Linked DNA regions of Ovis aries. The protein of the gene in region 2 binds, or shares a complex with, the protein of the main gene of each other region. Links are inferred from orthologs where the notes say so. Each region holds a gene or a part of one and is shown on either strand. Other genes may lie near its edges.

What was found.
Region 1: the proteins of FGFR2 (region 2) and FGF8 are in contact, whole or in part, in a crystal structure (PDB 2FDB), measured with the Homo sapiens proteins. The link is inferred for Ovis aries from reciprocal best matches to the Homo sapiens genes FGFR2 and FGF8. Residues at the interface, in NP_000132.3 of Homo sapiens: Glu160, Lys161, Glu163, Lys164, Leu166, His167, Ala168, Val169, Pro170, Asn173, Asp247, Val249, Arg251, Ser252, Ser282, Asp283, Ala284, Gln285, Pro286, His287, Ile288, Gln289, Ile291, His293, Leu309, Val311, Leu312, Lys313, Ala314, Ala315; in NP_149354.1 of Homo sapiens: His53, Val54, Gln57, Asp62, Leu64, Ser65, Arg66, Leu68, Ile69, Arg70, Tyr72, Tyr75, Arg77, Gly80, His82, Val106, Glu107, Thr108, Thr110, Phe111, Gly112, Ser113, Val115, Thr148, Glu149, Ile150, Val151, Leu152, Glu153, Asn154.

The regions. Positions count from the first base shown.
Region 1 is NC_056075.1:22,293,790-22,298,270, forward strand, and holds the start of FGF8 (fibroblast growth factor 8), read right to left. Parts: upstream 3,081-4,481; 5' UTR 2,362-3,080; coding exon 1,992-2,361; intron 1-1,991. UniProt on the Homo sapiens protein: Plays an important role in the regulation of embryonic development, cell proliferation, cell differentiation and cell migration. Required for normal brain, eye, ear and limb development during embryogenesis.
Region 2 is NC_056075.1:41,084,295-41,088,092, reverse strand, and holds part of FGFR2 (fibroblast growth factor receptor 2), read left to right. Parts: intron 1-613; 5' UTR 614-728; intron 729-1,316; 5' UTR 1,317-1,440; coding exon 1,441-1,606; intron 1,607-3,798. UniProt on the Homo sapiens protein: Tyrosine-protein kinase that acts as a cell-surface receptor for fibroblast growth factors and plays an essential role in the regulation of cell proliferation, differentiation, migration and apoptosis, and in the regulation of embryonic development.

The DNA.
Region 1 (4,481 bases), about 19 Mb from region 2:
TGCAGAAGCATAGAGCTGGGACCCAGTAGCCAAGCCCCCAGTCTGGCTCCAAGTCAGCCAGGGAAATGCAGCTGCCACCTCCTCTCCCACCCAGTTCCTCTTGGATCCAGCCAGTCTGCCCATCCCTTTCCTGTTCTGCTTTTCAGGGCAAGGAGCAGCTATTTTTTAAGGGCCAAGAAGGACATCAACTGGAGAAGAGGGGGGTCTGCCAAACAAGGCAGACATGAATGGAGCCCTCTGTCCCTTCCTGGGACCCATAAGGAAGCCCCTGGGACTTCTCTGCCATTCTCCCCCAGATTCTACCTGTCCTGGCTATACACCCTAAGCCTCTGCTCTTGGGCCCTCCAGCTCCTGCTCCTGCCCACCAGGCAGGGACCAGGGAACCTGGGAAGCCTCCTATAACTGTAAGAAGAGAAGTGGGCATCAGACCTCTGATGTCTGAAGATGAATCCCCCCATGACCAGCTTAGCTTCTTCTTCTTCGCTCCCCAAACCCCGAGGATGCTGGACCATTTGCTCCAATGGAGCAAACCCAGGAGGGGCCAGGCATTCATTCCCTTTCCTTGGAAGCTGAGAAGGGCAACGAGCAGCCAGTTTGAAGGGACAAAGGGGCGGCAGGCTGGCCCTACCAGCCCAGCAGGGGAGCTCGGCCACCGGGCAGGCCACCCCCACCCCCACCCCCACTGCAGAAAGCCCCCACTCTCCTTCCTGGATGGAGCTGGGGAGCTGGGGCAGCAGTTTACAGCGGCTTTCCCGACCGGGCTTTTGGAAAGCTTAACATTTTCAAACCTATTCTTCCACCCCAGTGACAGATTTATCCCAGGAAAATTATGTCTCCTTCTCCAGCTTTGAAGGGAAGTCAGCTACGTCGATGCAGAAAAAATGCAGCGAGACATACTCGATCCCCCAAACTGGCTCGAGAAGAGGAGAAAGTATTCAGGAAATGTTAAAAAAGGTGAAAGTAAGAAGAGTTTTAATCGCTCTGCCAGACGCGGGGGTCTCTCCAGAGATTCATAGAGAACAATCTTGAACCTCTTTTTTAACATTTACAGACTTGCAACTCCTTTCAAACTCCACATCTGAAAAAAAGGCTCGTTCTTTTTCTGTTTTATATCATTCTTCATTTTTCTTCTTAGCTCTTAAAATGCTTCACCTTTTTATTACATTTTAATAGAGTCTTCCCCTCTCCTTTCATGCTTGTTTAACTTGGTCATTATTTAAAGGTTTTTAAACTCACAATAATCGCTCTCTAAAAACAACACCAGCCGCCCAGAGGACTTGCTTTTCTCTTGGTACATCCAGGACTCTGGAAATTGGCCTTGTTTCAAGGCAGGAATATTGAATGTTTTAGAAATCAATCAGTCCTCAGCCTCTCCACCCCACAGTAGCTCCCTGTACTCACCACCCCACCGGGAGCCAGGAGCCCCGCTCTGACCGACCGCCTGGGTTCCTGGACAAGTGAAGTGGGGAAGGCCCCTTTCCTAGCCTAGTCCCCATGTGTAATTGACCCTCCTGATCAAAGTATTTAAGGTTCACAGTACACCGCCCCCCCCCCCAACCTGGGAGAGTTGAGGGGATTTCTCTCCCTTCTCTTTCCCACTCTCCTTTTGTGGGCCCTGGTGACATATCCTCTTTCAAGAGCTTCCCTTAAACCTGGGCCCCCTCCCCCTGAACCCTCTGCCTCCACCTGCAGTGGGGAGGGGTATGAGAGGGGGAGGTGGAAAGGGAGATTCCTGGATTCATTCATCTGCTGGGCAGGGAAAGGGCACCTATGGGCCAAGTACTCCCCAGGGTCCCTTCCCCAGCCCTCTCTTCTCCAGCTGACCCCCAAGATGTTTGTCGGCTTAACTCCTTCCCTTCTGAGCTGGGGAGCCTACAGGCCTCAGCTCAGCGCGCAGATGCGACTGCTGGGTCCCGTCACAGCAGGCCAGCCTGGGGAGGAGGGGCGTGCTCCGCAGGCTACCTTAACCCCAGCGCAGTGCAGCTCCTTACCGAAGGGGTCCCCGTCTTCTGCCATGGCGTTGATGCGCTTGTTGGCCAGGACCTGCACGTGCTTCCCGCTGGTGCGGCTGTAGAGTTGGTAGGTCCGGATGAGACGGCGGCTGAGCTGATCTGTCACCAGGCTCTGCTCCCTCACATGCTGTGTAAAATTAGGTGAGGACTGAACAGTTACCTTTAGGAAATTGAAAAATACACAACACGCCATTATAATGCTACCCTGCCCAGGGGCCCGAGTGGCCCCCATCACCCGGCACCTCCCTCCACTGCCCCAGGCAGCCGGCAGGGGCTGGGGTCCCCCCAACATGCCAGTTCGGACCACCCCCACCCTACCCAGGAAAGTCGGACAGACCCAGTCTAGCATGGATGCGCCCGGGATGGGGAAGGATCTGGACCCACCTGTTGGGAAACACCCTGGGACTCCCGGCCAGCTCGGAACAGGGAAGCGAGCTCCCTGCCCAACGCAGGCCCCCCGCCCGGGCCTTCCTAGAAGAGCAGGGCGCTTTTAAGTCGGGAGGCAGCGCGGCCCGACCCCTGACATTTATAAAGACAAATTCACGGAGCAAATGTGGAGACCGCAGAAGCCCTGGGCACCTGGTCTTTCGGCCAGACCCGCCGCAAGTCTCTCCAGAGAGCCGCGGAGAGGGTCCCTGAGGCCGTCACCGGACCTCTGACATCGAACGCCCCCTGCCCCGAATGCCCCCTTCCTCGGCGCGGCCGGGACTGGCTGCCGCCGAGTTCCCCAACCACCCCCACCGGGCTGGGAGGCGTGGGAGACAGCGCCGGACTCCGAAACCTCGGGTTCTAGCCTCGCGCGGCTCACAGGCTGTGTGACCTGAGGCCGGCGCTACCTCTCTGGTCCTTAACCCCTCCTCGGGATAGTTAGGGGTTGCTGTTCTAAGATGCTTCCCAGCACTTCCAGCCCGCCGCGCGGCCGCGGGGTCGGTCCTCTTGCCCCCGCCTGCCCGACCTCGCCCCCCGGCGTGCCCCGCCGGCCCCGGCGCAGTGCGCCTTACCTGGGCTTGGAGGCAGAGAACCAGCAAGTGCAACAGCCTGTGGGAGACAAAAGCGGGCGGGGAGAGAGGGGCGCGGGGTGAGTGGCGGGCGGGCCGGCGGGCGCGCGGCCGGGGGCGCGGGACGGCGGTACTCACAGGCAGCTCAGCGCCGAGCGGGGGCTGCCCATGGCGCGCGGCCGGGGAGCACCCACAGCCCCGGCGGGATCTCGCCGGCTCGCGGGAGGCAGCGGACCGACGAGCCGAGGGCGGCGGCGGCGGAGGGGGGCTCGAGGGTGGCTCGAGGCCGGGAGCCGGGGCGATCGGGACGCAGCTCCGCGGGTCCCAGGGAATGTCGAGCTCGCCGCGCCGCGCCGAGTGCCTCTGCGCCGCAGCCGGAGCCGTTGGCCGCTGGCTGCTGAGGAGCCGGAGCGGGAGGGAGGGTAACGGGCCGGCAGGGGGGGTGGGTAAGTGGGAAGGGAGGGGGAGGGGTGGGGGCGGGGGGCGCCGCACCGGGCGCGAGGGGGGAGCGCGGGGCGGGCGGCCGGAGCCCGCAGCCCCCGGCTGGGAGCGGGGGCCCGGACGCAGCCCGGGGCGGGGGCGGGGCGGACCGGGGCGGGGCGGTCGGAGGGTCGGGGATTGGGGGTCTGGGTGAGGGGAGGGGTCTGGGGACCCGCTGCAAGGGGCGAGGGCTGCCTGTCTGGGCCCCTCTCCGCATCCCGGACTTGTCCCCTTGCGCGTTCTTGGGGTCCAGGCGTGCGGGGATGGGGGCGCATCGGGCCGCCCACCCTGTGGAGTCCCGAGACCCTCTGCTGGGGCTTCCTGGACCCCCCGGGCGCCCGAGTGGGAAGGCGCCCGGTCTCCACCGTGGGACCCGGTCCGCTTAAGCCTCAAGCTAGACAGCGGTTCTCTGAGCCACCTACTGTGTGCTTTGTCTGTCTGGGGCTGCCGCCTGCAAGTAGCCTCCAACACTGGGGTGAACGCTTGTGCGCTTTCCTCTGGCAGTGCGCGCCTGTGAGACCGGGAGCCGACAACCACCCCCATCTTTCTGCTGAGTACCCTGCCTTGCCGGTCTCTCCTGCATCGCTCAGTCACCAAGAAGGCCCTGAGATCGAGAAACATCTCCTTTCCTGCTTCCTGCCCTCATTATCACCATCACCCCTGCTCCTGTCCCTCCCGCCCCCAACACGCTAGACTGAAGCCTGACTACACCACCCAAAAAGGAGAGAGCCCACCCATAGGGAAAACCCCAGTCACTTGCCACCACCATGCCCTCCCCAAAGCGGCAGGCAGTGGGCGCAAAAATAACCTCAGCTGCTTTTCCAGGAAAGAGGCTTAGATCCAGGTTGCCTAGTCTTTTTCGCTCAGACTCCCATTATTTGTGCACTGAACAGGTATTTACACACCTACTGTGTGCTAAACCTGGACTGGTGCTTTGTCAACCCTGGGGGAGGGGGAAGTATCAAAGAAGGTAGTGAGTTGTCTAAGCCTT
Region 2 (3,798 bases):
CACGTGTGCTTTCTTTTGAAGAAGAGGCTTTCTTTTTTCCTCCTCTGAAAGTGGAGCAGCGTCCTCTTTTCCCCTTGCTCACTCTAATCCTTAGTCAAGGCTGAAAGTTTATTCTGATGTAGCTTTGGGGACGCTCAAGCAGTATTGAAATCCCAAGTCATAATCTGAAACATGAAGTCCGCAAGCAGAAAGCGTGGGGTTTCGAGATTTGTATATTAAAGGTCTCACCTCCACCCTCAATCCTATAAAATGTGGTTCTTTCATATGTAATTCACAGAATCTGTGATTGGATCAAATTCTCTGAAGCTTGTGCATTTTGGTTCTTATTCTTAGTAATTGATACTGAACAAATGTAAAGTCTTGGATTATCTTAAGCTTGGAAATTTCTCTTTGCTTTTGAATTAAATGGGTGAGCAGACTAGTACATTGAACACCCCCTGGTAACTTCTGTTCTGAAATTTTAGTCAGTAAGTTAGCATATTGAAAGTTATTGGCCCAATCACCTACCCTGAGAGTAATTTACATATCATCATCACCATCATCATCATTAATGAACACCCGTGTTATTCAAAGGAGTTTGCATCTGCTCTGTTTCTTAATGCACTCTGTCTAGTTTGAAGACACGCACTAGGCCTGGGCTGCCATTCGTCACAGTGGAATGGGATTCAAGCTTTGAACCTCTTTTTGGATCAGCTGCTTTGAATGTATTGCAGTCTCGTTCATTCTTTGTAAGTGTCTGCTTGGCGAAAAGATTGAAATACATTTCTGCATTTGAAAATGAATCTTGACAAGTGTAAACTGGTGGGAATTTTTGGTCGCCTTCCTGGGGTTCTTTTTATTTTGCTGGTCTCCCTTCCTCCCGAGGGCTCCAGGGAGGGTGGAGCAAGCCACTTAGCTCCAACCCCCAGAAGCAGACACCTCTGAAGCCCAGTTGGTGTGAAAGAAGTTAACAAGAGGCTGGCTATGCCAGCCGGAGCATCGTTAACTTGGCTTTTGTAGTTGCCCTTGAAACTAAGGTCACGTAGCTTTGGCTTTTGGAGGGCGGGAGAGGTGACAGTGGGTAGGAGGAGAGAGTCCGCTTGCCCAGCTGAAGTGGCTGCACGTATCTGGGTCCTGTAGCTACTCTTTTTATCTCTGTTTCCTAAGAGTAGGCTTTCTCAACCGTCAGCCTAACACGTTTTTGTGGACCGGTCTGGTGGAAACCCCTGGGACTCAGGTGCGGATGGAAGGTATTTGCAGATGATGAAAGAGAACTGGGTTGAACTAAATTGGTATTGGGGAAGATTTCACTGACTTGCAGTGTCTCTCTCCTCTAGAGGTTGCAGCAGCAGCAGCAGCGGCAAGGCCAGCGAGCGGCTGCCGCAGCACCTTGATTCCTGAGCCCACCGCCGGCTGAAGGCATTGCTGCAGGCAGTCCATGCTCGTAGAGGAAGGGTGCAGATGGGATTAACGTCCACATGGAGATATGGAAGAGGACAGGGGATCGGCACTGTAACCATGGTCAGCTGGGGTCGCTTCCTCTGCCTGGTTGTGGTCACCATGGCAACCTTGTCCCTGGCCCGGCCCTCCTTCAATTTAGTTGACGATACCACGGTTGAGCCGGAAGGTAAGTTATCTCATTTCGCTCTCAGGGTACCAAGTTTGGGGATTTGTCTGGGGGAAGTGGCAGTGAGGTCAAGGCCTGTTTGAGAATCAGCTGCCCCTTGCGTTGTAAAGGAGACCTCTAAGAGCGGAGCTTGTGGCTCTCTGCCCCCTGCAAGCCAGGGATTACAAGAGAAGGTTCTCAGCTGTCACGCTGAGGGCAGGGTGGTGTAGTTCGGTGGTTTCTTGGCGTGTGCGTTTTTCTCTGTGCTGGGTAAGGGAGGCGGCTGGCAGTTCATCCAGTGCCAGGAGAGCCGTGGCAGGCAGCTCAGAGTTGAATGCCATCTACCACTCCCTGCTTACCCGAGAGAGTCTTGCTCACAATGTAAAGGATTGCAGTTTGCCGGCAAAAGGAGTCATGCAGGGAAATTGCCAACCTCTGAAATGCTGACATTTTATTTTCATTGTCTAAGGAGAGAAAGCTTCTGAACTTCAGCGTGGAGAGGGTTGAGACATTACATTCTTTTTAGCCCTTGTAATTCATAATACTTAAGCCACACGTCACAGAGCAGCAGATTCTATTTTAGGTCAATTTGAAATGTACCTGGGCCTTTCCCGAATCTCTGAGAACTTCCAGATCTAACAGGGTGTGCGTTGGTGTTTCAGCTGTGGAAATTGCACGCAGGCAACACATTATGCATTTTGGAACATGCAGAAAGGCATGAGGCCAGTTGTGAGCACAAAACTCACAAGGGCTGAATTTTCCCGCCAGGCAGACTTGGAACCTCTTCTCCTGGGTCCTTCCGCGACGTCGGTAGCCCAGCCTCAACTTGGTGCCGCACGAGATCTGTCATCAGTAGGGAATATTGGTAGCTGAGTTATTTTTCGAGTGGTAATCCGAGAATAAAACGGCAGATCCTAGCACTCATCGCCACTTAATGAACCTGTTTGCTGAGAGCCCACCTGGTGCCTGCTGAGCTCTGGGGGCCTGCGTGGGCTGGGGTCGGTCAGCTGTTCTGGAAAAGACCCTGCTCGGAAGAAGACCGCAAGCCTGTCCAGGACCAGACCGGGAGGGGAGGGCTGTGTCCTCATCCGAGGGGGGCTCCCACTGAGACCCTGAGTCATGCAAGGATAAAGGCATATCTTTTTTTTTCTAAAATGGAGGCGCTTCTTACTAGAAGCAGCTCAGCAGTTGCGAGTGGAAGCTTGTGCCCTTTTTCTTACCTAGAGGTATGGAGGTTTGTAGTAAACAGGTGTAGTGACGCTGCAGTGGCTTCCAAGTCTCCGGTAGGGAACCTGGTAGGAGTTTGCGTCTGAAGTGTTCACAGGCTCTGGCTCCAGGGATTATGGAACTGCCTCCTGGTGACATGAGCTCCAATGTCACTTGCAATGGGGATGCATGTTTAAAGGGCTTAACTTGAGGGAAAAGGTTCCCAGTTTCTGAAAGTCATGCCTGTACGTCTTTAATTTTGCTAATAATTAAAATGGATGTTTCTCTAATTGCCGGTTTTCCCTGGGGTGCATGGCTCAGTACACACACTGAGGCTGCTGAACAGGAGGGTTTCCTGCAGTGTGAGCCCAGGAATGGCCTAGGTTAGGAAGAAAATGTCATTTCTCATTTCGACTTTCAGGGCAGCGTGATTGGGAGTTTATTTCAACATAAAGTGTAAAATGGTCCTGGAGGACTTCTTTTTATCGTCTTTAATTATTGAAGGGAATTTAAAAATATATGTGCACATACTGGTAGGAAGAGGTGAGGCAGGGATGGGGAGGGGGTGGAGACGGACGAGGACGCAGTACCCCCCGGCAGTTCTTTGTGTAGAAATGTGCATTCAACAATGTGAGTGTTGTTGGAGGCTGGTCTTCCCAGCCTGGCATCTGTGAATGCACTTGGGGGTTGAGGGGAGGTGCCTGAATTCTCTGAAACGGGAGGTCATATTTTGGGGTTCACAGCTCCTATGAGGTTTGCGTCCAGAGTTGTGAGAGGTTTTTTTCAAAGGTTTAGTGGAAGCTGTGCAAAACCCTGGAAAGAGGTGGCTTTGGAAAAAGCACACAACCCCCTGGATCTCAGTTTCCTTTTCTGTCATCTGAGGGCTGGATTAGATAATCTTCAGGGTCTCTTTATTAATGTTAAATGAATATTGATATCTTCAGAAGCCTTCTGATGACCCGCCTCAAAAAGGTTGCTAGGAGATTTAAGTGGGTCTGGACGTAAAA